Saccharomyces cerevisiae S288C: one gene and its partner. Each later gene encodes a partner of the first gene's protein in a complex. Each region holds a gene or a part of one and is shown on either strand. Other genes may lie near its edges. A codon is read from its position in the direction of its gene.

Evidence for each region.
Region 2: the proteins of ARD1 (region 1) and NAT1 are in contact, whole or in part, in a crystal structure (PDB 4HNY), measured with the Saccharomyces cerevisiae proteins. Residues at the interface, in NP_011877.1 of Saccharomyces cerevisiae: Pro2 (codon at 1,214), Ile3 (codon at 1,211), Asn4 (codon at 1,208), Ile5 (codon at 1,205), Arg6 (codon at 1,202), Arg7 (codon at 1,199), Ile10 (codon at 1,190), Asn11 (codon at 1,187), Ile13 (codon at 1,181), Ile14 (codon at 1,178), Gln17 (codon at 1,169), Ala19 (codon at 1,163), Asn20 (codon at 1,160), Pro25 (codon at 1,145), Asn27 (codon at 1,139), Tyr28 (codon at 1,136), Met30 (codon at 1,130), Lys31 (codon at 1,127), Met34 (codon at 1,118), Tyr35 (codon at 1,115), Ile37 (codon at 1,109), Leu38 (codon at 1,106), Ser39 (codon at 1,103), Trp40 (codon at 1,100), Pro41 (codon at 1,097), Glu42 (codon at 1,094), Phe45 (codon at 1,085), Leu52 (codon at 1,064), Asp53 (codon at 1,061), Glu55 (codon at 1,055); in NP_010244.1 of Saccharomyces cerevisiae: Tyr199 (codon at 4,958), Glu203 (codon at 4,946), Phe238 (codon at 4,841), Asp239 (codon at 4,838), Lys240 (codon at 4,835), Phe241 (codon at 4,832), Gly242 (codon at 4,829), Glu245 (codon at 4,820), Ile262 (codon at 4,769), Arg265 (codon at 4,760), Thr266 (codon at 4,757), Lys269 (codon at 4,748), Arg270 (codon at 4,745), Asn271 (codon at 4,742), Pro272 (codon at 4,739), Asp273 (codon at 4,736), Asn274 (codon at 4,733), Phe275 (codon at 4,730), Lys276 (codon at 4,727), Leu285 (codon at 4,700), Ile287 (codon at 4,694), Leu293 (codon at 4,676), Ala296 (codon at 4,667), Leu297 (codon at 4,664), Lys300 (codon at 4,655), Leu301 (codon at 4,652), Gln303 (codon at 4,646), Phe304 (codon at 4,643), Tyr305 (codon at 4,640), Pro306 (codon at 4,637).

Annotation. Positions count from the first base shown.
Region 1 is NC_001140.6:130,230-140,120, forward strand, and holds ARD1 (peptide alpha-N-acetyltransferase complex A subunit ARD1), read right to left. Parts: upstream 1,218-9,891; coding exon 501-1,217; downstream 1-500. Other genes in the region: retromer subunit VPS29, read left to right, coding at 1-219; SPO13 (Spo13p), read left to right, coding at 1,818-2,693; MIP6 (Mip6p), read left to right, coding at 4,325-6,304; YSC84 (Ysc84p), read right to left, coding at 6,652-8,011, 8,180-8,226; YSC83 (Ysc83p), read left to right, coding at 8,465-9,622; argininosuccinate lyase ARG4, read right to left, coding at 9,782-9,891. UniProt on the Saccharomyces cerevisiae protein: Catalytic component of the NatA N-terminal acetyltransferase, which catalyzes acetylation of proteins beginning with Met-Ser, Met-Gly and Met-Ala.
Region 2 is NC_001136.10:375,887-393,859, forward strand, and holds NAT1 (peptide alpha-N-acetyltransferase complex A subunit NAT1), read right to left. Parts: upstream 5,553-17,973; coding exon 2,988-5,552; downstream 1-2,987. Other genes in the region: spliceosome assembly protein PRP11, read right to left, coding at 1-594; NAD-dependent histone deacetylase SIR2, read right to left, coding at 871-2,559; pheromone-regulated protein PRM7, read right to left, coding at 6,099-8,195; BSC1 (Bsc1p), read right to left, coding at 8,715-9,701; pseudouridine synthase PUS9, read right to left, coding at 11,627-13,015; GPR1 (Gpr1p), read right to left, coding at 13,286-16,171; SLM3 (tRNA-5-taurinomethyluridine 2-sulfurtransferase), read right to left, coding at 16,773-17,973. UniProt on the Saccharomyces cerevisiae protein: Non-catalytic component of the NatA N-terminal acetyltransferase, which catalyzes acetylation of proteins beginning with Met-Ser, Met-Gly and Met-Ala.

The DNA of each region.
Region 1 (9,891 bases):
GGCACTGCTGGGGAACGTGAGAATGAGAATGAAAGCAACGTTAAGCCTGAAAACCAATTTAAGGAAGACGAGGTTGATATGTCAGATTCGGATATAAATGGGTCTAATTCACCAAGTTTCTGCCTCTTGGATATTCAAGGCAATACCTGCACGTTATACATTTATTTATACGTTAATGGAGAAGTGAAGGTCGATAAAGTGGTTTATGAAAAGGAATAGGGTAGCCATTTTCATTTTTATGCATTTCTATGATGTCTAAACATTAGATGCATTCGTGAACTTTTTCTTGCAGACGAGATAGATGTAATTAAGATATCCTATCTGCCGGATATTACATATATAAAAAAAGAAAGCTTGCATGCACAGTTTCCTTACTATTCATGCTCACACAATTCTACCGAATTAGCACTGCAGTGTTTAGAACCGTGCTCAAAAAGAGCTAACAGAGCTTGTGAAGAAGCCTGGATGAAAATATACTACGTTTATATAGGTTGATTTAATTATACAATGATATCATTTACGCCTTGCTTAATGATATCCTCTAGTAGATCGCTTTCTAGATCGTCTTCTAGTTTTTCCTCATTCTCTTTCAAACGGCGATGGGTGAAGTTGCTTATCTGCAACTCCTCTAATTTTAAAACCTTCTTCATGGCGTATGCATCTTCACCATCCTGATAGTAGCTTTTCTCGATACTCAACACCTCAAACGCCAATGTGTCCCTGTACAAGTGTAAAGCTGCTCTATTAGATTGTCTCACATGCAAGGAAACATATTCCGCTTGATGAACTTCTCTCAACGCAAATAAAGCTTGTCTCATTAAGTTTTCGGCAATCCCCATCCTTCTATAGGTTCTCATGACACTTAAGGAAGTAATATGACCATTTGGTGGCTCGTTTTGCTGGTCGGGGTCGTCGTTCATCTTCACGAGAACGTATCCAACTAATTTTTCGCCCGGAGCCAAGTATGTTGGATCCAACTTGATTGTCCTGCCGTCATTGGTCCCATCTAAGGTCAATTCCAATTTGTCGTTCTCATCTTGTTCATCACTATCTTCACAGTCCAAAGTGGTGGTAGTAGCAACAAACGAAGCCTCTGGCCACGAGAGAATATGATACATATAATATTTCATCATATAATTTTCGGGTAGGTTATGAAGGTTGGCATTTTGCATACATATAATGTCATTGATTGTCGCTCTGCGAATATTAATAGGCATGGTTGACGAAGTTTTATTTTGGAGCTTGATCGTATGTATTTAGGTTTCCCTTTTCACTTGGCAATTACTCGTTGCTGACAAAAGGTTTCAAACTTTTCAGACGGTGCTTTTTTTTTCTGTTCAAAAAACCAATTGACGCGAGAAAGTGAGGATTGAGCCTAGAGATCAATAAAGACAAATTAGCATTGGATGCAATACTACTAAAGCAAGCGCTTTAAGAGAAAATATTTGTCCTGGAAGTCTCATGGAGATTATACTTTATGAATTCTTTATCTCCGGGCAGAAGGCACTTCAGCGTATCATTTGTTCCATGATATTTTCTGAATAAACTTCAGAATTATAATACACAGTATTTACACATCTAATTTTTGACTACAGTATAATATTCAAGCTTCTTGATTTACCTGCAGTTATGCTTAAATTCACATTTGAATTCTTTAGTATCCGTTTAGCTAGTTAGTACCTTTGCACGGAAATGTATTAATTAGGAGTATATTGAGAAATAGCCGCCGACAAAAAGGAAGTCTCATAAAAGTGTCTAACAGACAATTAGCGCAATAAGAAGAAAGAAAACGGATTGAAGTTGAGTCGAGAATAATTATGGCACCCAGAAAACGCTTTAGGCTACTCGAATTAGGGTCACCAACACATTCTAAAAGGAAAGTTCAAAAACCTCTTCAAGAGAAGACCCCAAACTTGCGAGTTTCTCCACTTGCTTTTAAAATTGGTAAAGAAATCAAGAATAAGGAAATCAGAAAAACAAAAAAAACAGAATCAGAAAATATATTCAATTCGAAACATGTCGATTTAAGACTAGAAAGCCCACATCCAGGATTAAATTTTGTAAGTGATGCTCAACAGTACTCAAAGGCTGGAGATGTTCGATATTTGAAAAATAAATCAAGCAATACCTTGAAAAACGAAAGACAAACAATAGAGCGCCCCTCATTTGATAATTCCTTAAGGTTCGAGGACATTGAGCAGCCTCCAAAATCTACTTCAACGCCGGTTCTTTCTCAATCTTCTCAAATAAATGTAGAAAGAGAAGCACCCATGTTTCCAGTTCCTTACTATATTGCTCCTTCTCCTATGTATAATTTTAGCCCGTATCAAAATTTCGTTGGAAACCCAACGTTCCTGACGCCAAGTCATAACCCAAACCTAAACTATGCCATTCCCATCCAACGGCCGGAGTTGCTTTATCCGAATGTTAACGTATACGATTCGCCATTGTTTAAGAAAACAAGACTGCCCCATCAGACCAAAAGTCTAGATAAAGAAAAAAATTACCAATATCTTCCAATATATCCGGTCTCGATTTCTAATAACGGAGATTTTGTTGGCCAAGAGACACCAAGGGCAGCACCAAAGTTAAGTAAAAAGAGACTTTCAAATACATTGGATGTTAATTGTTCCGATTATGAGTCTAGTGGACAAAATGCAACTTATAATGATAGTGAGTCTTCCCTTAATTAAAAAGATTAGTTTACTTTTTCTGTAGAATGTTAATTAGTTTATTGCATAGAAAATCTTTAATACTGAATGACAAAATTTCCACAATTTTTTTTAAAAAAATTATCGACAACTGCAGGACTCGAACCTGCGCGGGCAAAGCCCAAAAGATTTCTAATCTTTCGCCTTAACCACTCGGCCAAGTTGCCACTTATTATATAAGTCGTAAGCATAATATCAGGATCTTATGCCTTAGTATAAGTCAATTGAAATTGCAATCCTTGTATGTTTTATATTAAATTTTGGGTGAATAATTGGATAATTGTTTGAAATCCATTGTTGAAGAAAGGCTATAATATTCGTACACAGAGTATACTAGAAGTTCTTCTCGAGGGTCTTGGAATCCACAAAAAGGCGTCGATAAATCTCCATAACTATATTACTTTATCCTATTACATTATCAATTCTTGCTTTTAGCTTCTATTGTATTTGATAAAATATTTCGGCTTCTTTTATGTGTATGCGATTGCGTATTACTAAATATAAATTTATATTTCCTGCGACCATTTGTCCGTCAGAAAAGGCTCTCAAAAAAACAACACTACCCTTTTACCGGAAATCACAAACTAAATGTTAAAATAAGAATTTAACATCATCCATTGATTATGAATATTGAGTGAATGATTTAATGATTGTTGCGATTTCCTTGTTGGTGAAGGCTATGATATCAGCTATGCAGAATATACTAGTAGTTATCCACCAGAACATAAGAATCCTCAAAATGTAATTAAAAATCCACTATCGTCTATCAACCAATAATTATACTATCAATATATTATCATATACGGTGTTAGATGATGAAATAAGTTATGAGAAGCTGTCATCGAAGTTAGAGGAAGCTGAAGTGCAAGGATTGATAATGTAATAAGATAATGAAACATATAAAACGGAATGAGGAATAATCGTAATATTAGGTTGTAGAAATATAGATTCCATTTTGAGGATTCCTAAATCCTCGAGGAGAACTTCTAGTATATTGTGTATACCTAATATAATAGCCTTTATCAAAAATGGAATCCCAACAATTATCTCAAAATTCACCTAATTCTCAGAATCTGTATTTCGACATAAGGTTATTATGATTATTTCTCCTTCCGTTCTATATTTTTCATTACCCTATTACATTGTCAATCCTTGCATTTCTGCTTTCATTAGAATTGATGACTGTTTCTCAATGTTTATGCCATCTTCTTACAACTTATTTGACAATAAACTAGTAGCGTGAGTACTAATAAACGGATGATATTTTGAAGTTTCATAACAACAATCAAAATTTGATGTATTTCATTAAAAATTGATTGATTTTGGGTAATGCAAGGATGACGTATTCGATCATGATTTTCAGATCGACCAGTAAGTTCCGGTCCTATAGTGTAGTGGTTATCACTTTCGGTTTTGATCCGGACAACCCCGGTTCGAATCCGGGTAGGACCTTTTTTTGCTAAAATGAACTTGTGTCACAAATTCCGTTCGAAATGGCGGTCCTTTTCCAATAAGTTTTCTTTTTATGGCATTTTTAGCAATTAGAGCTTACTTAACATAATGAATTATCCAAGTCAATAAAAGCAGAAATACGAAAAATTCCCTAAAAAAAGATGCCAAACTCTCATGGTAATGTATTGAATAATATCTCTTTAAATAGCAAGCAAAATCCCAGATCGATTTCTAAAAGTTGCCCAAATGATAAAGATGCAAGGCAGAAAAGCTTCAAAACGATATCAGCCCAAGCACTAGTACGCGTGCAAGGAGCTGGATATAAGCTCGGTGATGTGAAATTAAAGGATGCTGAAGTCAAAGAAAAGAATAGCCTCAAAAAATACGATTGTAAAAATGCAACTCAAGAAAAGAAAGAACAAGAGCAAGTATTTGAAAAAACTGTTGCAAAGGGAAGCGTGCAAAAATATATCACGAAAACTTCAAAGACAAATAGTTTGTTTATAGGAAATCTGAAATCAACTGTCACTGAAGAAATGCTAAGGAAGATATTCAAAAGGTATCAATCTTTTGAATCTGCTAAAGTGTGTCGTGATTTTCTCACCAAAAAATCATTGGGTTATGGCTATTTGAATTTCAAGGATAAAAACGATGCAGAATCTGCAAGGAAAGAATTTAATTATACGGTTTTTTTTGGTCAAGAAGTTAAAATAATGCCATCTATGAAAAATACATTATTTAGAAAAAACATCGGAACAAATGTTTTTTTCTCTAACTTACCACTGGAAAATCCCCAACTGACCACAAGATCATTTTATCTAATAATGATCGAGTACGGAAATGTACTGTCATGTCTTCTAGAAAGAAGAAAAAACATTGGGTTCGTTTATTTCGATAACGATATTTCTGCTAGAAATGTAATCAAAAAATACAATAACCAAGAATTTTTTGGAAATAAAATTATATGTGGATTGCATTTTGACAAAGAAGTAAGAACTAGACCTGAATTTACAAAAAGAAAAAAAATGATTGGCTCCGACATAGTTATCGAAGACGAACTATTGGCTAGCAATAATTTATCAGATAATGCTCGTTCGAAAACAATATTAGTCAAAAATTTACCATCTGACACAACACAAGAAGAGGTCTTGGATTACTTCAGCACTATTGGCCCCATAAAATCTGTATTCATCTCTGAAAAGCAGGCGAACACACCACATAAAGCGTTCGTCACATATAAAAATGAAGAAGAATCTAAAAAGGCACAGAAATGTTTGAATAAAACAATTTTTAAAAACCATACCATTTGGGTTGGTCCTGGTAAAGATAAGCCTGTTCATAATCAAATTGGAACGAACAAGAAAACAAAGGTTTATCTAAAAAATTTAAGCTTCAATTGCAATAAGGAGTTTATTTCTCAACTATGTTTACAAGAAAAAATAAGATTCAGTGAAATTAAGATCACAAACTATAACTCATTAAATTGGACATTTTGTGGACATGTTGAGTGTTTTTCTCGTAGTGATGCTGAGAGATTATTTAATATTTTGGATAGGAGACTAATTGGAAGTAGTTTGGTTGAGGCATCATGGTCAAAGAATAATGATAATATACTAAATGAGATAGACTATGACGATGGTAACAACAATGAAAATTATAAGAAATTAATCAACATTAGTTCCATGATGCGTTTCCGCACACAAGAGTTATCAGCTCATCAAAAGGGATTAACGTCACAGTTTCAACAAGTAGTTTCCCCATTCTCATCATATTCAAATTCCTACACAAACATGAACTCTCTCGTAGCTACGCCGATGAAACCTCATCCAGCATTTAATTTAATTACAAATACTGTTGACGAAAAACTGCATCAGCCTAAGAGAACTAAACAGGAGAATGCAGAAATACTTGAGTCCTTAAAAAAAATTATAAACAGAAATTTACAACGTATAAGTATTTCTGGTTTAAATAAAGAAGAAAATCTGCGCAGCATTTCCGAGTTTATTTTTGACGTATTTTGGGAGCATGACTCAGAAAGGCTATCGCACTTTTTATTAATGACAAATACTTCATTAGAATCACAGAAAATTCTACAAAAACAAGTCACTAGAGCTGCTGAAAGCCTCGGATTTACAGTTTGATTCCTTTTAAAGGAAGAAGGCAGGTTCATCAATATGCAATTTTCGGTACAAAAGTACGTATGTCTATAAAAATAGAGTATTGTTTTCTTTGCTATCTTAATCTACCCAGAATTATTCCAAGGAGTTTCAGCCTCGATTTTTTTTTAGTTTAATGGCGTATAGTCCAGTTTCAAGAAATACTCCACCTACTAAGTGAGTACTTAAGAAGTGGTTCCTCGAAGCTTTCCATTGTGATTATATAACTACAAACATTTCGTAAACATAGCTGAATAAGGAACCCATCCTCAACTTCATAACTCTAAAAAAAAATTCTATATATAGGAACGAGACATATGGAGGACGATAATTTAAGAAACTCTAACGTAGTTTGCAGGGAATATTCCTTCTTTTCCGTTAGTCCTGCCTGTCCACCAATCATTTTGAGAATCTGATTTTTTTAAGATAGTAATAACATCACCTTTTTTGAAAGCCAAGTCGCCTGGTTGTTCTCCAGCAAAATTGTAGAGAGCAACAGCCGTTGGTGTCGCCGAATTTGTAGCAGTGGATTCATTACCTAACCCTGTCTTCGACATTTTATGTGATAAATCATCGACATTGCTCATATTGCTGGGGTGAGTTGGGCCATGACCAAGGCTATAACCCCTTTCTCTACCATAACCACGCCTATTTCCTCGGGTATTATCATAATCCCTACCGGAATGGTTGGGACGGGAGTATTCAGTATCTCTATCATACAAATCATCTTCCCATCGGGTATTCGCACGCGGCTTAGTACCCCTATCTATCTGTGGGCCTCTATTGCGGCTGCTGTTTCTATTTGGAGATCTTCCGTAATCATAATCTTCATCTTCGCTATCAAAATCTCCATACCCGCGACCACGTCCGTAACCATCATCATCATAATCATCATCATAACGACTGCGTGACCCCAGCGACATTCCTCTTCTTCTTGATGATCTTGTGTTTGGACGTGTTGAGGATTCATCAGTAGAATCAAAGGAATCTGGAATATCGTCGTAATAATGGCTTGTGTTGTCGCTGTATTGACCGTCATCATAAAAATCATCACCGCTAGCGTTGTCATCATGGTCGTGGCGTGTAAAGTTGAACGCTCTTGATTCCAAGATACGGAGTAGGGGGTCTGCTGCTGGTGGAACTTTTACTCTACCTGACAAAATCATCTTTGATGTACAGTTATCGCCGTAAAACTTTCGATTAGCTTCCCTTCTCTCCAAGATGGCTGAACCTTCCACAGACACACCGGCAAATAAACCTTTGCTTTTGGAATAGGCAAAAACTGCCGAGACACCACCTGTGGATGCAGAAGCTGCAGCTTCTGCACTTCTTCCAAGAGGACCTGCGGAAACTGACACATTACCACCTAAAGTAATTGTACCAAATTCAGAAAAGGACCTCACTGCCTCTTCCGAATTTAAAATAAAAACAAAATCTGTCAATTCAACGCCGACCATACCACCTGCACCAGCACCTGCCATAGCGATAGCAGAGGGAGCCGACCATGTACCGTCTTTTAACCTGGCCACAATCACCCCAGAACCTGCTCTCCCTGAAAACAAGAAGCCAGCCTTTAAAACCGTGATAATTGCTAGACCTTTAGCTCTTTTTAGCACATATGGTGGAATAACTTGGTCTGCTCCAAATACTTGATTTGGTTTAACAAAACTCCTTAGAACTTTCGCGGCCTTCCTGTAGTTAAAACATTCGAAATAAATCAATCATAAAGTTGTTAGTACATTACTTTTGAAAACTCATGCCCCATAAGCAATGGACACAGACTAGAGAGCTATCTTGAACATTTTAGCTGCATCCATAAGTTTAGAGGAGGGGCAGCAGGAAGCATATATATGAACATACTTGGTCTCGCTTTTCAAGCTTCGAGGAATTGGATTATTGATACCCATTTTTGGATTTTGGATTTGATATTACCACTACTCTTGAAAATTTTACTGTGAAGTGTAAGATAGTTTCATGTTATAGATAATGTTAAGAACAGGGTCTAGTTAGGGGGTAGTCAACTTTAATTCCCTTCAGGTCGTTTTCGGTCAGCGTCGGAACATGTAAAAATGTTGTAGGTGGCATACAAACAGGAAATATAAAACAGACAACAGAAGATATTTGCTCTCAAAAAAACAAATAAAAATGGCTTGGTCTGGTGGTAAGGATATAGTGGATCAGATATTTGATGCTGGGTATTGGCTCGTCTCGAAAAGCGCTGTCTTGAGCGATGAGATCAAGAACCACGTCGAAAAATCAATTGAATCCATATCTGGAAAGATATCCAACAAGGAGACTCCTCGACTACAGGAAAACGACAGTAACAGATCTAAAGTATATAAAACTTTGAGGATCGGGCTCCAGGATCATTGGAAGCTAGGCTTGGGAATTTCTGCCACCTCCCTGTGCTTATACCTTGGGTATAGGACCTTTTTTAAACTGCCACCTAATTTACCTGAAGCAGAATCTCAAGTGGTATTAATACTGGGCGATATGAATGATCCTATCATAAGGAATCAAGTGATGGATTTATATCGCAGACGGTTTACAGTATATATTTGTACTGAAAATGCAGACGTCTATAAGAAGCACGAAGAAGATCAGGATTTCATATATTACATTGATCCCACCTGCGAAAAAGACTTCGAGGGTTTTTTTGTTGATGTACCAAGGCTAGCATCCATATTGTTTATGCCAAGGTTATCATATCATCCATCCGGAGTAATTTCATGTGACTCATTGGAATCTGAAATTCATTCAAGTATATTTGTGTATTATCAAGCATTATTAAGCATTATACCCCATTTGAAGAGAAAAACCCAACTAATTATGTTCAATCCATCTTTGACTGCGGACCTGAACTTAGTCCATCATAGTACAGAAATTATAACGTCTGGAATAATCGACTCACTATTTAAAATTTTCAAGGAATATCAAAGGTTAAATGTTTCCACAATCAAGCTTGGAATCCTGCAGATTGGGTCACAACCATCGAACTATAAATTTTTGAGAATGGCCGGTTCAGACATTCACGAGGCCCTACATTATCCAGTTTACAAAATGATAATGAGTGCGAATGGGTATAAACTAAGACAACTGCTAAGTTGGTTAACGACTTTGGGAGGTTACAATAGTGTGTATTATTGCGGCCGTTTTAGTTATTTAGTCTCATGGCCATTTGCTTCACTTATATTCAACCATCACACACGTCTTTCCCTGAAACGCTTGAGAGGAAGATTAGCCAAGGTATATAGCAGCATTATTTCGTTTTTTTGCCGGTCATCTTCTAAATCATCCAAATAATATCCTTGATTAGATAACAATTGCTTATCTACGTATATATATACATAGCACAATCTCGAAAATATAATACTAATAACAAAATAAGTATTTAAAGAAGGGTTGATGAAGTCCTAGAAGTACCAGACCTGATGAAATTCTTGCGCATAACGTCGCCATCTGCTAATTTAATTGGGATTTCAAATTATCCAATTGCTTCAATACAGCAGATTTAGCGGTTCCACCAGTAGCATCTCGTCTTTCAACGCTTTGTTCAAAGTTAAAAGTTTCAA
Region 2 (17,973 bases), on another chromosome or scaffold:
AAATTTTTTTCCCTTCTGTTTGGTATCTGATAGCTCTAAACCAGATACAATCCTAATGAGAGGAGGGACTTTAGCCTTATCATCGCTATCGACACTATTTTCTTTGACTTCACTGCTATAATTTACCTGGATAGCCAAACCTACTGAACCGTTCTTCGGGTTTTTCACGGTAGCTATTTTACAAACAGGGATCGTACCGTTATTCTTTAAAGATTGCTTAGCTTCAATTATCTTTTGTTGTTGTCGGAAATCATGAGTTGTTTGGCCTTCTCTCCCTAGAGAACTTTTCTCTATACTGATACCACGCCTTAACACATTTAAACCATGTTTTTTACCACCCAAATGCCTTTCAACGCTGGACCACGACATGTGCATTGTATTACATAGTTTACAAACCAGTTTACCGGAATGATTCTTGTAAATGTACGGATTGGACCTTACTTGATCGTCCTTTTCATCTTGGAAAGTGTACGGGACATTTTCGCCTTTACTAAGTAATGATTCGACTTCTTTCCTTCGTTGTAAGTTAAACTGAGATTCTGAGGCTATACCACCACCTCCTTTCTTTGACCCAACGCCTTCTAAATAGTTCATTTTGAATGTATGGATGCGTTAAATGATTTGAATTTGCTGTTCCACCTGCCCTTCTTACATTAAGCTATTTGTGAGAGCCTTGCGTCTTTAGCAGATTTTTTTTTTTCATTTTTTTAGTGAGATGGGCGGTACATGTAATATTTCACCCGGTACAATGAAAATAGCAGAATGTAAATAATATTTGACTACAATAATTGAAAGGAAAACAAAATTGTTTGCCATACTATGTAAATTGATATTAATTTGGCACTTTTAAATTATTAAATTGCCTTCTACTTAGAGGGTTTTGGGATGTTCATCTGATGTAACGACATACACGCCCTTATCCTTCTCTTGGCATTTAAAGTTCTTGTTCTTCAAATCGTTCCATTTCTTATGCGGAATCGTCCAGCCACATTTTTGGGCTACCATAGCTGCAATGTCATCACAGTACCCCAAAAGAGATAAATCAAATTCTGCGTGCTTGACGGGATCACGATTAATCAGGACTTGGGGAACGTGGGAAGGAACCATGTTTACGATTTCAGACACTGGCGCTACTTTTAAACTTGTCCCAATGCAAATCAACAAATCACATTCTAAGATATCTTCGCGAATGCTCTTATGAAATTTATTTGGCAGTGCTTCGCCAAAGAATGTGATATCTGGTTTGAGAACGCCATATGAGTTAAGGATATATGGAGGCCTTTCCGACATTGAACCCTGTGATGCAGCAACACCTACTTTATTATTATATCCCTCTGGGAAATATTCTCTTCTTTTTTTGTAACAGTACGGGCATAGTGGAAGTTCGAGGTTTCTAATTTTATTAAATATCCTCTCACCGGGTAGGTTCCAATGGCAGGTAACGCAGGTGGCAGTAGCAAAAGAGCCATGGCACTGCACCAGTTTATCTGTGCTTATTCCCGCATAAGATTCCAAATTATCAATGTTTTGAGTATAATTTCTCAATAATTTCCCTTTCATTTGTAGCATCTTAATGAAACTATGCAATGGAGAATAAATTTTTTCTGGAGGTAAAACCATATTGGCAATATTATAGAAAACAGAGGGGTCGTGCATAAATATATTGTAATTGAAAACGTCTTGGGGATCATCGAGCCCCAAATGTTTGATCTTTGAATAGAACCCCTCAGAAGATCTGAAGTCCGGGATCCCTAATGAAGTTGAAACACCTGCACCAGTCAGGACCAAAATTTTTCTAGCGGTATGTAATTTTTGAATAAAATGATCAATAGTGAAAAAATTGGATAATCTTAATCTTGTACATAGAACTTTGTTAATTGCTCTTTGCAAATCTTTGATTAGACGAACTGTTTGCTTTTTTGCCAATGGGTCTTCAACATTTGTGACAGATATTGCACTTCCCAAATCTTGAACACGCTCTTGCGAGTTGATATGGACAATACTGTTGATGGTGCCGATAAGCGCTTGATCTTTAACTTCAAAGCCTAGCAACTTGATAAGATAGTAAATGTATAACGAGTTCAAATCCTCGGGGAGGTAAGTGTCTAAAAATTTGTGTGCACCATAGTATTTCAGAAACATTCGAGCATTGAGAGACTCTCGTTTAGTGAAGGAGGGACCATAGAAAATACCATTTGATGGGTTTTTACTGATTATGATTGGCCCCTTGGGCGTCTCTGGTTTCAAAACGTCATTGGACATTGACACTACTGAAGCTGCTGACACTGCCAAGGGATCCATGTCATTAGTTGGTTTGAGCTCCATCGATGCCACTTCTCCGAGCGCAGCTTTAGTGTGCCCAAGTGGATCTGTTGTGTTGGTTTCCCTCAAGGAATCCGGCTGTGCTACTTTTATCTTCTTATGTGAAGGTTCATCATTATTTATAATGTCATCGGGTTGTTTTCTGATCGCGTCTTTATCTTGTGTGGGGCTTACTGTATTTGAAACCTTATTTTCGCTAGTCTTTGATACGGCGTATTTCATATGTGGGATGGTCATCCAGCTTTAATGTGCCGATGAGGGAAAAATGGTTTGAATGTGTCTACCGAAGCGATGCCTAATTTCTTGAAATACGTGAGAATGGGCTTTACATCTCTTCACTAAATATATTTTTCTTGGGTGGTGAAAAAGACAAGTCTTTCAAACTATGCGACCTAGAAAAAAAATATTTTACCGCAACTGGCGGCCAAAGAGGACAAAGAAAAATTCCTCGTTTTTTCTCTGAGATGGGAAAGCAAGAATTTTGGCAAGAAAAGGTCCTGGCTGTCCTGGACCATGGTTGGAAGGAGTGCTAGATGTAGCTTGGAAAAGAAATGACCTATAACAATGTATCTTTTATGAGCATATGCGCATGCATATAAGCATATACATAAAAAATATATACATAAATTAAGTAAGAGTTAATTGACACATTGAGGAGTTGCAGGCTACAAGTAATACTGTAGAATTTCGTTCTGGGAGTGAGGCTCCAAGGGAGAAAGACTGCTAATAATCATTTCTTTCAAATTAGAGCTTCCGATCGGAACATCATCGCGATAGCGATACAGAAATAGCAGGCCATTTATATCATTCTTACCGAATTTTTCTTGGTAGAAATTCAGCCAATCGAAGCTATTGTTAGATATTTCGTTTAATGGGAAATTTTCAGAATACTCTTTTTCAAGGCTCTTCGTGACTACTTTCTTCAAAATTGGATCAAAGGGGGTGTCGTTTCTTGTGGCATGTAACAAAACAATGGCCATACTACCAAATAAACCGCTCGTGGTGCCAAATCTCTTAGCGAATTTGTTTAGAGAAGCAAAGCACAAAGCTAACTTTCCAATTCTGTAGTTAAATTCAAAGTCCAAAATATAATCCCTTTCGTCTTCTCTGACTTGCATGGAGTAGTTATTATAAAATTCGGTAGCGAAGTCCTCCATTGGAGTGGAGGTTTCAATCAACTTTTCGCCGAATACATCGTTATCTTGATCACTCGGATAAGCAGCAACACTCTTGGCTTCAGTTTCTTTCCGTTTGTTCATAGCGGCTGCTTCCTTCTTAGCTTTTTTCTTTTGGCTGCTACTATTTTGGCCATTATTTTGGATTTCATCTGAATTTTCATCTAAAGAATCGGACTTTCTTTTTAAGCGATCATCATGCATTTGAAAGTAAAGCTTTGATGCTTCCTTCATTGCGCGAACATACATGGGTTTGGTATAAAGTGCCTTTCCCCATTCTAACATCTCCAGATAGGCTCTTGGCGTACCTTTTCTCATACAGTATGAATGGAAATCCAACTGGTCATCTTCGAATTGTTTATAAAACTTTGGAATAGCGTTGAATCTTTTCAGCGCCAAACCTTTATATTTGCGAACAAGCCATTGGTTTTCTTTGATATCATTCGCAATTTGTTCGCTTTTATCACTTTCAACCTCTTTTTTTAGCGATGCTAAATCGTCTAATTTCTTTTTTCTATCCAGGTATAGTCTATAATAGGCTTCTGCCTGTTCTACGATGAACCAAGAAGCTTCCACAAGGTGTAAGTCCTTAATACCATTAACAGAATCATCGTTTTTGGTGAAAAGGGACGCGACTTCCACCGCCTTGTCGATATTGTTAGCCCTTAAAAAGTACTTAACCGTTTTACAGTTGATAAATCTATCCTGCAAATCAAGTTGCCTACCTTCCTCCAAAATTCCAGCCGCTGTGTCCATTAGGCCTAAGTGCTTCAGGATACGTGCCTTGAGGATGTAAAACTCAACTAAAGTTGGGGTGTGGTCAAGGGCAGCATCAATATATTCTTGGGCTTTCGGAAAATCCTTAAGGAAAAGGAAATGTTGAGACAAGTAATAATTGGTCCAAATAAAAGGAATTGGATCCTGCGTAGGATCTAATCCGGACAAATAATCAAGGACAATTTTCTCCAATAGTGGTGAAACCTTGGACTTCCTTCTTTGGTAAAGGGGTTTCACGTTGGAAAAAGTTGCTGGAACACCGCGCTCCAATTGAGGCAAAACATATTCTCTCAATTTTTTGCTGAGCTCTTCTTTGTCTTGAAGGAAAGTTAATGGAATAAATTTGGGTGGTTCGCATCTTGGATAAAATTGTTCAAGTTTTCCATACAAAGCCTTCTTCAATTTATTGTCACCTTGGATTCCCAAGGATACTTCCAGTAATTTGTAGTACTTAAAATTATCTGGATTTCTCTTGATCAGAGTTCTATAAACAATGGACGCGTCTTTCAATTGACCCAATTTCATGTAAATAGTTGCTTTTCTCTCTAATAAACCAAATTTATCAAAGACGCATGGCTCGATATCATTCAAATGTTTCAATACATTTTGTAACTTGTCTTGGTTATCACTGGCAGCTTTATACATAATGTCGTTTTTGTACATTAAACACTCGCTGTGTTCATATTTCTCGGAATCAGATATTTTTCCCTCAGCGAGTTTTTCAAACTGAGATAAAGTGTTAATAGCTTGTTGCCTCTCACCGTTCACATCTTGTGCCACAGCCAATGATGTCCAGTTGGCACGGTAACCAAGGAATGCTTCCCAATATTTTTTCCTGGACACTAAAGCATTTTTGAAATCGCCAATTTGTGATTGCAAAGTTGCTAAGTCTCTATATATTTGCTTGTTAGTGGACCCATTGTTCAAAGCTGCCGTGAACCATTTAATAGATTCTTTGTACTCTTTGGTGTTTCTCATGTAGATACCTAATACATGACAGCAGATTGGTGATGCTGAAGCGCCTTCAATTTTTCTGATGGCATTAGCCACGTAGGAAGCAGCGTCATCTTTCTCACCTACAGAATATAAATCAAGACCCTTTAAAGCCAAGGAATCAACGTGACTACCGTCTTTTTTCAAAATTGCGTCTAGCAGCTTGAGAGATTTTTTGTATTGCTTCCCTTCGTATAGTTTCAATGCCTCGAGGAACTGGTCATTTTCTTTTTTCAAAGCTATTTTAGCTGCTGGCTTGGGCTTAGTACTTCTTTTCCTAGACATACTTCGTTAGGGTCAATCGCCTTCCTCAATGGTATTTGTCTTAAACAAGGAATCTGAACATCACTTTTTAAAAAGGTTTGACTTTTGAGTGTAGAAACTTTTTCATTTTCGCTCTTTCCTCTTTACTCTGTATTATGTTCTGTTTCGACGCGGAGCAGGGTAAAAAGTGCATACGCAACCCAGCGACCTCATTAGCAAGGTCATGCAATTTGGTGGCACATTTCAGGCCTATCATGTCTCCAGTTGTACAATAATGAAAATTTAGCAGTATTCCCCCTTTAAAAGATTAAATAGCGATTATATAATCAACTCAAAGAGTTTCCTTAGCAGTCCTCTCTCAATTTTGAATTGTCGAATGTCATGGCGTTCTCGAAGCACTTTGCATACTTCAAGGAGTGGACAGAAAGAGTCTGATAATAATAATTTTTTATTGAATCCGAAGATATTCTATAATCAAATTTAACTATTATTCTATGTAAAATCTATAATTGGTTTATATGGTATACGAACGAGAATGGCGTAGGGACATGAAAGATGGTAGAATGACTAAATGAAAGCTAGAGGAAGAGCGGCAGCGAGCCACACCAATTTTCCTACTGCTTCAATGTTTGCGCTGCCTTCCATGATTAATGAAATGCTGGCAGATGATGTAATGGCTCCTGTTGATACAGCAGCAATGGAATGCTTTGATGTGATAAATGCGTTAGTAGTGGTGGTCGTGAAGGAATTTGTATAATGAATGGCACTGGATTGACTAGAATAATCTTTAGTTGAGGTACCAGAAACACTTTCTAGAGAGGCAGCTGCAGAAATATTGTCCTCAATACTGTGATTCATTACGGAAGCAGTTGATTGAACGTTACTTATAGTAGACGTTGATGCAGGAGAAGTCATAAATGCAGATTGTTTGGTGATGGTAGTGTCTTTGGGACCCGAGTAATTTGGGTTCCCAACCTCAGACTGAATGTTAATGTTTGAAGTTACTAGTGTTGTATGGCGAGTCGAGTCAGTAACTCTACTGACAATATCGGTGACGCTTGCGTGAGCTGATGCATAAGTTCTATCTAATGTGATTGGATGAGCTGAGGAAGATGAGCCGACTAAACCATTTTCACTGGCTAGAGTCGTTGGGTCTGCTGAAGTTATGCTAGGATATGAAGATTTAGTTGATTGGAATGCGTCAACTACAGAAACAGAACTTTGGGTCTTCGAATCATTGCTGCTAACTGGCATATTAGGCTTGATTATACTTGTTGCGCTTGACCTACTCGAGGAAGCCGAATCAACTGGGGTTAAAGTTACAATCGAAGAACTTGAAGTGGCCGAAATTCCTTGCTGTCTAGAAAGGCTTAGACTTTCCGACGCAATTGGAATGCCCGTGGAAGTTGATCCGGTCGAAGCTGTTGGATATACTGGGCTATTCGAGACAGCGAAAGTGCTTGGGTCTACTTGAGATCTTTGAATGGATGAGACGCTCAAATCAGCTGAACCAGTTGAGGAAACCATATCAGTTAGACTAGATGATACTGTTTGGGTATCTTGGCTGGTTGAAGTGGTTGAAACCCTTAGAATGATTGTGTCAGAGAAAGTAGCTAGATCTGTTGAAGTAGTTGGACCACTTGGTCTGGTTGAATAAACTGAGGTTGAACTGACAATAAAACTGGTTGGTTCAGATGAAGTTGAACTAACTACAGAACTAGCTGGATCAATTGAGGCGCTACTGATGATAGTAGTTGCACCGCTTGAACTAACGATGGAGCTAACTGGATCAATTGAAGTAGTTTGAGCCGCTAAAGTAGCTGAACCGTTTGAATTAGCAGAAATAGTCACAGTGCTTGAGCTAGTTGGGTAAGATGAAGTTAAACTGACAACAGAACTAGCCGGATCAACTGGAGCGGAACTGACTACAGAACTAGTTGGATCAACTGAAGTAGTTTGAACGGTCGAGGTAGTTGAGTCAGCTGAAGTAGTTGGGTCTGCTGAAGTTGAACTGATAACAGAAGTGGTTGGGTCAACTGAAGTAGCAACGTCACTTGAGCTAGTTTGATCAACTGAGGTTGAAATGACTACAGAAGTAGTTGGGTCAACTAAAGTAGTCACAGCGCTTGAACTAGTTGGATCTGCTGAAGTAGCCACGTCACTTGAGCTAGTTGGATCTGTTGATGTGGTTACCTCGTCAGAGCTTCTTGTACGATACATACCAGCAACACTTGATGAGGCATGTGGACCAACTGTTGTAGTAGACTCAATTAAAGATGTAGAGTCCGTGGAAGTGGAAATCACGACAGAGATATTTAGACTTGTTGAAGTAGTAATATCGTTTGAACTGACGAGAGAAGTAGTTGGTTCAATTGAAGTGGTTTGAACGGTTGAAGTAATCACATCGCTCGAGCTAGTTGGGTCAATTGAAGTGGAACTAACTGCAAAAGTAGTGGAATTGGCCAAAGTGGAATTGCCGATGTTGTTACTTGGACCAGCTGAAGTGGTTTGAACGGTCGAGGTAGTTGAGTCAGCTGAAGTAGTTGGGTCTGCTGAAGTTGAACTGATAACAGAAGTAGTTGGGTCAACTGAAGTAGCAACGTCACTTGAGCTAGTTAGATCTGTTGATGTGGTTACCTCGTCAGAGCTTCTTGTACGATACATAGCCGCTAAACTTGATGAGGCGTGTGGATCATCCGATGTAGTATACTCAATTGAAGATGTAGAGTCTGTGGAAGTAGAAATGGTAACAGAGCTACTTGGATCAGCTGGGCTAGTTTGAACGGCCGAAGTAGTTGAATCAGCTGGAGTAGTTGGGTTAATTGAAGTAGTCACAGCATTTGAACTAGTTGGGTCTGCTGAACTTGAACTGATAACAGAGCTACTTAGATCAGCTGAACTTGAACTGACTACGGAAGTAGTTGGATCAGCTGAAGTAGTTTGAACGGTCGAGGTAGTTGGGTCAGCTGAAGTAGTTGGGTCAACTGAAGTAGTTGGATCAACTGAAGTAGAACTGACTATAGAACTAGTTGGGTCAACTGAAGTAGTTGGATCAACAGAAGTAGTTTGAACGGTCGAGGTAGTTGGATCAGCTGAAGTATTTGGGTCAACTGAAGTAGTTGGGTCAACTGAAGTAGTCACAGCGCTTGAACTAGTTGGGTCTTCTGAACTTGAACTTACTACTTAAGTGGTTGGATCAACAGAAGTAGTTTGAATGGTTGAACTGGTTACATCGCTTGAACTACTAGAGTCACTTGAAGTGAAACTGCTGAAAGGACTAGTTGAAGCTGCTAATGTGGTGACATCAGTAGATGTTCTTGAACGATAAATATCGGCTACGCTTGATGAAGTATGTGAGTCAACGGAAGTAGTAAAATCAATGGATGTAGTGGAAGAGCTTTTCACAGTAGATGACGTAGTAGTGGAAGTTTTCGTAGAGGATGAAGTAGTAGAGGATGAAGTAGTAGAGGATGAAGTAGTAGAGGATGAAGTAGTAGAGGATGAAGTAGTAGAGGATGAAGTAGTAGAGGATGAAGTAGTAGAGGATGAAGTAGTAGAGGATGAAGTAGTAGAGGATGAAGTAGTAGAGGATGAAGTAGTAGAGGATGAAGTAGTAGTGGATGAAGTAGTAGTGGATGAAGTAGTAGTGGATGAAGTAGTAATGGATGAAGTAGTAATGGATGAAGACGAGGCTTTTGTACAAGTGCCATCATTGTTTCCCTTGCACTGGTAGGTCCAATAAAATCCAGGGAAATCCGTTTGTGAGTGGCCTTGATTGTCATAATTGTTACAACCTGTCGATAAATCGAAGGTGGTTGTCCCCCATTGCCAAGTTTGCCAGTACTGAGCAGCATCACCTTGTAGATATTCGAACTGGATTTGGAAATTTGGCATCCAAACTGTGCAACCGTCAGAAGAAGGGTAAGCATAAACCTGAAAAGTGGATGTAAAATCTGTTGGATCACTGATTAGGTATGTCTTCTCATTTTTGCCGTAAAGTTGTACGGTGCTTGAGGGACCGTTGACACCAATAATCTTTAAAGACCATAAATATTTCAAAGGGATATCTTTTACGGCTTTGACATGAATAGTAATCTGGTATGTGTTATCCTTGACCCATGATACGGAAGTAACATCCATATCATAATGTAGTATATTCTGTTGGCTCATGTGCCAGTTGAAATCCAAATTTGGACAACCATTGATAGCAACGCTTTCGTCTCTTTTGCTTAGATCAAATGAAGGGCTCACCTTGTCATCAATTCTATCAGCAGTCGCTGAATTTGTGAGCAAGGCCGCAAATAGGAGGCAAAATGATATTAGTAGTTTTCTTATGAATGATGTGGATACCTATTTTACACTTTTGCAACAAGGGGAGGAAAATTGCCAAGACCATCATGACATTGGAGGAAGTGATTTGCTTCTCTTAAATATAAAATAATTAAACGATCATGGAGATGCAGCGAACTAATGTGAAAAATTTTTCTTTCCAGTAGTATCGGTTATTCTGTAAGCATAGAATCGGGTATTAGTGGCTTGTTCCGAGCTTTTTTTCTTTGCCAATAAGAAAACAAGTAAAATGCAACGTGCAAATGCTGATCTGATCTCGCCTGGGCCAGTTTTATCGTCATGTGCGCGTGTAGGCACGAAAAAAAAGAAAAGACCGCTACCTCTCCTTCTAAAATGACAGGAGGAGAATATAAGGTTTGGCAGCCCCTTGAAAGAGCCGCAGGAACCAAAAAAAAAAGAAGGAAAGTTTATTTTTTTCTTTTTCCAAAAGACTTTTTAAGATGTTTGTCAGCAAGATAATACAGGACCTACACGACTATCAGTCACAGCCAGAGAAACGTTTGTCGTATGATGGCAAAATATTTTTCCCACAACTTTGAAATTATTTTCAAATATGGCAGAACAGTTTAACATTTGGTTTCAAGAGGTAGCACAAGTTCTTGAATAGTATTTGTTCGCGTTAAGATGGAAGCAGGCCAAATGCCCCAATAATCTAATAACCGTATTTTCTATGCTAAAGGAGGAACGAACACTCGGTCTTGTACAGGCAGCTCTAAAAGGAAAATTTCCATCCCCCCAGGCCAAGAAAATCAGAATCATATGGCCCCCTTCCATTCTAACGGAATAGTATATCAAAGAAATAATGTTTACGTAAGCCATAGACAAGCGATATAATCTTTTTTATCCTTAAACTAGGTGCTTCATTAAGAAAGAAGAAGAAAAGAAGAAAGTACGACAAAGACTCCCCGCTGGACAATAAACGGGGGCGGCAGGTGTTAATTCCGAATTGAAATTTAAATTTGACATAAGCAAAGTTTAAAGTTTTTTTTTTCCAGTTCTTTTTTCCCATCGTTTTTTTTTCTAGAAGCCGGGTTTTTCACCGTCAAAAAATTTCCTAAAAAAGATCTGTCAATCATTAAGTTTTGCTTTTTCGGCTTTTAAGCCATGCTTTCAGGCAAAAATTAAGATTTCTTCGTAAAGATCGGAGCCTTACGCCCAAGAAGCAACTGGCCGTAAAATTTTTTCTTCGATCGGGTGGCAAATGGAACAGAAGATCATGAGTAGAAGGAAAAGTAAACAAAGAATTGCGTCGGTCAACCGGTTGTTGCTGCGTGCTTCAGCGGGTGATAAATAAAAGATTTCCTATCTGAGTAATCGATGACACAAGCGGTCTGCGCTCGGTCGCTTCCAAGCCTTAACAAAGTTTTTACTTTATGGTTTTTAATAAATAAATAAAAAGAAACGTGGATTTGGATAGCAGAAAGCCTCGAAGATCATTTTATCAATGAAATTTTATGGTTAACACTTTCAAGACTCCGATTTTCTCTGCTACGTGAAATTTTAGGTTGCGAAAAGAATACTACCGGGAATACTAGGAGTGTGGAAGAAAAGAAATGGAAAAGAAAAGGAGAAGTGGTCATTCTTCACATCTCATTGTCTTCCTCCTGTAAAGATTTTAGCTTTTTTATAAATTAAGATTAAGATTGTAGCGTGATGTTCTGTTACTGTCATTTTTGATTGGCCAATGACTGATTATAACAGAAGACCAGTTTTCTATGTATTATTGTCCGACAAGTCAGGAACCTCTATCTTCTCAGAGCCCATTCTGGATACTCTGTTTTGTAGCACCACTTTTTCTTTTCGGTTCCTTCTTCAGTCTCAGTTGATTCGTATAGATAGGCATGTAACCACAGATCAAGATCATTGGGGCCAGGATCAGTATACAAATCAGATTCACAAATAGAACATTTTTCTTGCCTTAATACCTCACCGTACCCGCCATTACTATGGAACCAACTTTTAGCAGGTTTTCTTTTCCCTATTTCGTCTAGCTTAGTAATAACTATATCGAAGTCAGCCTGGCCGCCTTTTCCGAGATTGTTACCCCATACTTCATCATTGGAATAAATAGGATCGTTAGCAATTGGGTGGCCTAAGTACTGTAAATGTACTCTAATTTGATGTGATCGCCCGGTAAGCGGTTTGCACTTTACAATACTCGTTTTACCGTCGTAGCTGATTCTGTTAAAAACAGTTTTTGCATGTTTGGCTCCTTTCTCGTCCATTTGACAAACTGCATTAAGAGCAAGCCTTGGCTCGATCAGTTTTAGAGGTTTTTCAACAATTACTTCCGTTTCTGGAAATTCTCCAACTACCTTGGCCACGTATTCCTTAGTGACTTCTCGAGCTTTTAGTTGATCGCCGATATTATCGGCTCCCTTCGGAGTTTTTGCCAAAAACATTAATCCACTTGTAAGCCTATCTAACCTATTACATGGGTTCACAACAAATCCGAGATTATTTTGAAGCATTTTCGTAATTGTATTGAACCGATATCGGCCAGTTGGGTGAACAGGTATACCGCTCGGTTTATCAATAACCATTATGTTATCATCTTCAAAAATAACTTTGATAGGCCTGGAAGTGACTGGAGGTTCATGTCTATGTACCTGATGCGTAATCAGGTCACCATTGCGAATTACAGTAGATAAGTCCGCAGTTTCATCGTTTATATGAACGTCCCCGTTTTCGATTGTTCTTTTATAATATTCAGATTCACGATCTCGAAATTCAGATATAAAGACATCAACCAATTTTTTATCTCTCCAACGCTCTTTGCAAAAGGTCCTGTACGTAAAATGGTAGGGCTTGATTTTCCTTAGAGGGCCATCGATGACAATTTCATACTCTGGATCTAGTTGTCTATGTTTCTCTTTTTTGCTGCCTATCGTTCGTGATTGAAAAGTAGATTTATTAATCAAATCTGGCGATTTTTTTGATTGAGTTCGCTTTATTTTTTTTTTCTTTTGAATTTCCCTCTCTCTTTCAACCTCATTTTGCAAATGTTCATCAAACTCATTTGAGGTTGCATTACCTGCAAAAGCAAGACCTGCAGATAATGCATTCCTTTTGAGTTGTCGAGCCATTATTACTGGCACTGTAAACAAATTTCTTAACCTATTATTTCTTTGCATAAGTTTCCTATTCCATTATACGAGCACTCATCCATTTTCAAAAGTTTTTTATGAACTTTTTCTTAACTCGGTCTTTTGTTCTCTAATGGTTCGCCGCCAGACAGAAAAAAAGCTTACTTATCGAGGAATCACATTGCTTCAATGAATAAATTCTATAATGCATATACTACCTAACATATATAAGAGAAGTGAGCGTCATTCATGTCGGCTACTTGTCAATTTGTATTACGTTCCTTACTTTCCATTTTCAAACATCGCGATACAAAAACTTTATAATGGTCCATTTCTTAAGAAGGCTATCAAATCTATGCCGCTACTATCACTACTATCATTATCGTTCTGCGCCTCAATTATTGGATCAGGAGTCGTACCTGGTATTGTGGGCTTGACCAGATAATTTTCAGATGCACTAGCATCTGAATAGCGTAAATTCTTATCCTCTTCAATGCTATTCTCATCATCGTTTGTGACAATATTGCTTGAAAAGAAGCTGGATTTGACCATACTGTTAGTTGAGACGTCCTGATGTTTATCGTGACTTTTATTTTGGTTTAATGCAAATTTCAACCCGGGTAGAGAAAAATGGTCGTTATTGTACCGTATTTTCAACAATCTGTTTAACTCATCAAGATCTATTCCGCCAAGCATTGGAATATGATGAATGATCCTCCAAAACAAGGGCACTTCAACCTCTTCGGCCGTGATGTTATTAAGCATTGCCTGTAGTTCAAGTGAATTTGATGGAAGGGAGCGATCGCTACTATTCGTTTTAGTCTCATCAGATTCTGTGCGTTTATTATCGTTTGAATCTTTGGCTGAATAGTAGTTTTCCCAGTATTCAAAATCGTCACAATTGTCATAAAAACTAAAGTGTAGTTTTAGTTCAAACAATTGTTTAAAGAAGCGTTCAACAAACCACAGTATACGCTTCAGAGGGTTTGTAGAATATTTCCAGCATTTTCTTTTCTTCCACTTACCACGATAATACCAACCTCTTTTCCCCCAATTGCTGTGACAAAACTTCAGAATTTCCTTTTCACCAAGCTCTCCTTTCAGAATATATTTTTCAATGAGATATTTTGATTCTGTTTTTGCCCATGAATAGTTCCAAGGTTTTTCCTTGAACAGGTAAACAATGACGTCGACGAGACAACTTAATGGTCGAACGCAAGTGTCAATGTATGTCACCCACATGGTAGGCCCATGCTTTATTTCATGATTGTATTGCAACGCATCTGCAATGATGGGGAAAAGCCATATCCCAATATACGACAGTGGATAAATGAATATTGCCCTTAGATTCTTTTGAATTTGTGCCCTACGTTTTTTCATTTGTTTGTAGGTTTGGGCTTGGAAATGCTGTTGTACGTTGGTGAAACTTGAATTTTCGCATCTGTCTGCATTATTATTCACTCTCTCCTGTGAAAATTGTTGAGACGGAGTAAATGCTTCATTAGAAAGTGTAGGAATATTATCGGCTGGATTAGTATTATTGTTATCAACGTTATTTTTAATATTATTACTATTATTATTATTATTGTTGTTGTTGTTGTTATTGTTATTATTATTGTTATTATTATTATTGTTATTATTATTATTGTTATTATTATTATTGCTATTATTGTTATCGTTATCGTTATCGTTATTGTTGTTGTTGTCGTCGTCGTCGTTGTTACTGTTGTTGTTGATGATGCCTCCTTTTTCCTTAATGTTACTAGTTATGTCGCTGTTATCGTTCTTATTATCATACATTGCTAAAGGAGATTCTAGAGAATTTTGGCAAGAGAAAGTCTGATGTCCCAGCATTGAACTTTTTCTTGTATCCAGTCCTTCATTTTCAACACTAAAAGTAACTTTATGCTCCTTTTGCTTGGATACTAGTTCCGAAGGATTGAGTGTGATGTCATTTTCACAATCAAAAGGATTATTTCTTTCCAAATCTGGCTGTTCAGACATTGCATATTTGGACATATCGAGTGGTTTAGCACTGTTATAGTCAAGTAAGCGAACTCCACCACTTGCCGAGACATTCTCATCACTACCTGTATTTGTTTTTCTGAATAGTGTAGGTATCTCATTCGAACTCTCACCAAAATTGAAAGTTCCATTACTACTACCTGAATCGTCTGTTTCCTCATTCGGATCTATGAACGAAATGGTGAAAAAATTCTTTAAATTTCTCAAAAGATGTAGCAATGGCAATTTAAAATAGGATCTGAAATACCATTTGGCTTTTCCCCAGTGACCGAGCCCAAATAATTTTTTCTTTTCTTTCTCTTCCTCTAGTACGTTATGGTTAAAGTCTCCAATTTGCGCTTTAATTCTTTTACTTTCACTGGTAATGAAAATATAAATACTGAGGTAGACTGCAAATATGAAAATAATAATGAAATATCTGGGACCCCAGCTTAAAACAATTTTATACCAGTACGGCTTGGGTGGTAAATAGCACCATGCACTCCAAGGTTTGTAGCCACCTTGCCTGGGAGAATCGGGAAAGTTGTAGTTATTATTATCCAGTATAATAGTGGTGTCAGAATCGTCATTGAGTTTATTATAATTAATGAAGGCTAAGCTTGCTAAAATGGCAGGTACTAATGCAGTAATTGGCCAGATATATGACCTTTTTTTGTACAAGCCACCCTCCATATTTCCCGATCTTTTATTTCGCCATTTCCAATTAGGCTTGAAGATCAAAATAGCAAAATGTATGGCGAATATCATTATGGCCATGTCTGCACCTTCGATGGCAAAGGCCGTAAACCAACCCAAGGTATTAAAAAATGCAGGTGTTGCATACACACTATTATTAATAAGGATAATCATGGGATAAATCATCAGAATAAAAGCTTTAAGAAAGTCGCAAATTATCAAAAATGCGATGAGATCATGTCTGAAGACTTTTCGTCTCTTATCCATTTTAGAAAGGAAGAACATTCCGAGGCAACCGGCAATAAGGGACACGGCAGACGCAGTTATAGCTATTATTCTTAACTGCAACAGTTGCGGAGCCGTGAATGTAGAGGTCATCCCCGGCAACCCCAGCAGCTGGTTAACCGTGGTAGTGTTAAGCTGTCGGAGAGAATCAACTCTCTTTTCTAGTAAGGATGACCCTTTCAACGCGTTTAAATTCGGGGGAAATCCCTCAGTTATCATTTTGAGTTGGAGAGTTTGCTTTATTCGTCACACTTCGGATCACTTGTTTGTCGTTTTTTTTTTTTGGTGACTCTTACTGCTTTTTATAGACACACACACACACACACACACACACCTTCTTCTGGATACCGTAGAGAAAGGGATGTAGACAAATAAAAAAGGACAAAAGCTAGAAAAAAGACGGAAGAGGACGTGCGATTGCGTTGAATATGACCTTCGCAAATAAATATTAATAAATATGACGTTTTTGCCGCAATGCTAATTCTATAACCCACTCCTTCGTTGCCTTCTATGCTTTAATTAAACAATGGGTCCGGCTCAAACCTGGAAGGAAGATTTATAAATCTTGAAAAGAAAAAAAAGTGTGATTTAAAAAAATGAAAAAGAAAAACAAGAGGGCAAAAAAAAATGAACTACTTATTGAGACATGATTCAAGGGAAAAGACCTTCATATATACAGATTACTTTTCGAAATGGTCAGCCGCTTCATGAGCTCTTCTTGGCTGTATCGTACCACCGTGGTTCAATTAGGCAAGTATGTTGCTAAGATTAATTGCTGCGGCGCATCGTATAAGGTGATATACTAAATTCATTATCATCACTATGCATGGGTGTCATTATTATTAACATGGGAAATGGGCCCACTCCCAAGGACTCTATCGTCGATATATAGACAGCACGATTGCCCAGGAGTTATGGCACGTTGTTTTGAGGCTAAGTGTATTGTTATGTCGAGGTTGTCGGCAGAGCGATTCAGTTTGCACGATTTAATTTGGACTGGGACCTGCAGGGACCGGAATTGTAATGTCAAGGCACCAGTATTTTGGAAAGCGTTTATAGTGTCCTCCCTGGGGCCCAAAGACGAAAAGTTTTCGATTCGCATAGTGTCACTGTATAGCGCCGGATTATCTCTTCCTCTGACTATCAAGATTTCGTTGGTATCCCTTAGTTTTTCACTGACAAACCAGGTCCCTTGGTAATTAGGGTCAGCTTGTGGCATGGATATGCCCACTTTCTGTCCAATTGTGTAAGACCACAATCCATCGTGTCTGCCCCATGTCGTTTTGGCACCGGATTGTGGGTCAACGGTAATGATATCACCCGGTGAACTGGGTAGGTAGTGCTTTAAAAAATTCTTGAACTTCCCATGCTGGGAATTGTTGACGAAGCATATGCCCTGTGAATCAGGCTTTTCTGCAGTCGGGAGGCCTGCATACTTCGCTAAATCTCGTACTTCTGGTTTCGTTAGATGGCCAATGGGTAGCAACAAAGATGACAAAACAGTGGAGTTGATTTGTGAAAGGTAATAGCTTTGATCCTTGGGCCTATAAATGCTTCTCAGTAAATGGAATAATCCTTTTCCATTCATTTCCTGCATAACTCGGGCGTAATGACCAGTAACAAGCCAATAGTTACCCGTCCCATACTTCTCATCCAGCCACTCTCTCAGCTTGCCGAACTTGACGAACTTGTTGCAACCGATATCTGGATTGGGTGTCGACCCTTCACTGTAGCCTCTCAACATTGGTTCAAATACATCTATCCAATAATCTTGCTCAAAATTAACTTTGTCAACTCGGATGTTCAAATGCTTAGCGACACGGTTCACATCTCTCCAATCCCTCTCGTAGCATGGCTCCTTGCCAGGGTCGTCCAAAGATTGTGATTCAGACCAGTTCTGCATATATACTCCTCGGGTATTTGGAAATTCTCCGGCAAATAGTGCTGCCGCCACAGAGGAATCTACCCCAGATGACATTGCCACTATCACGTTGTCAAACTTTGCCGGTAGCCGCTGTGGT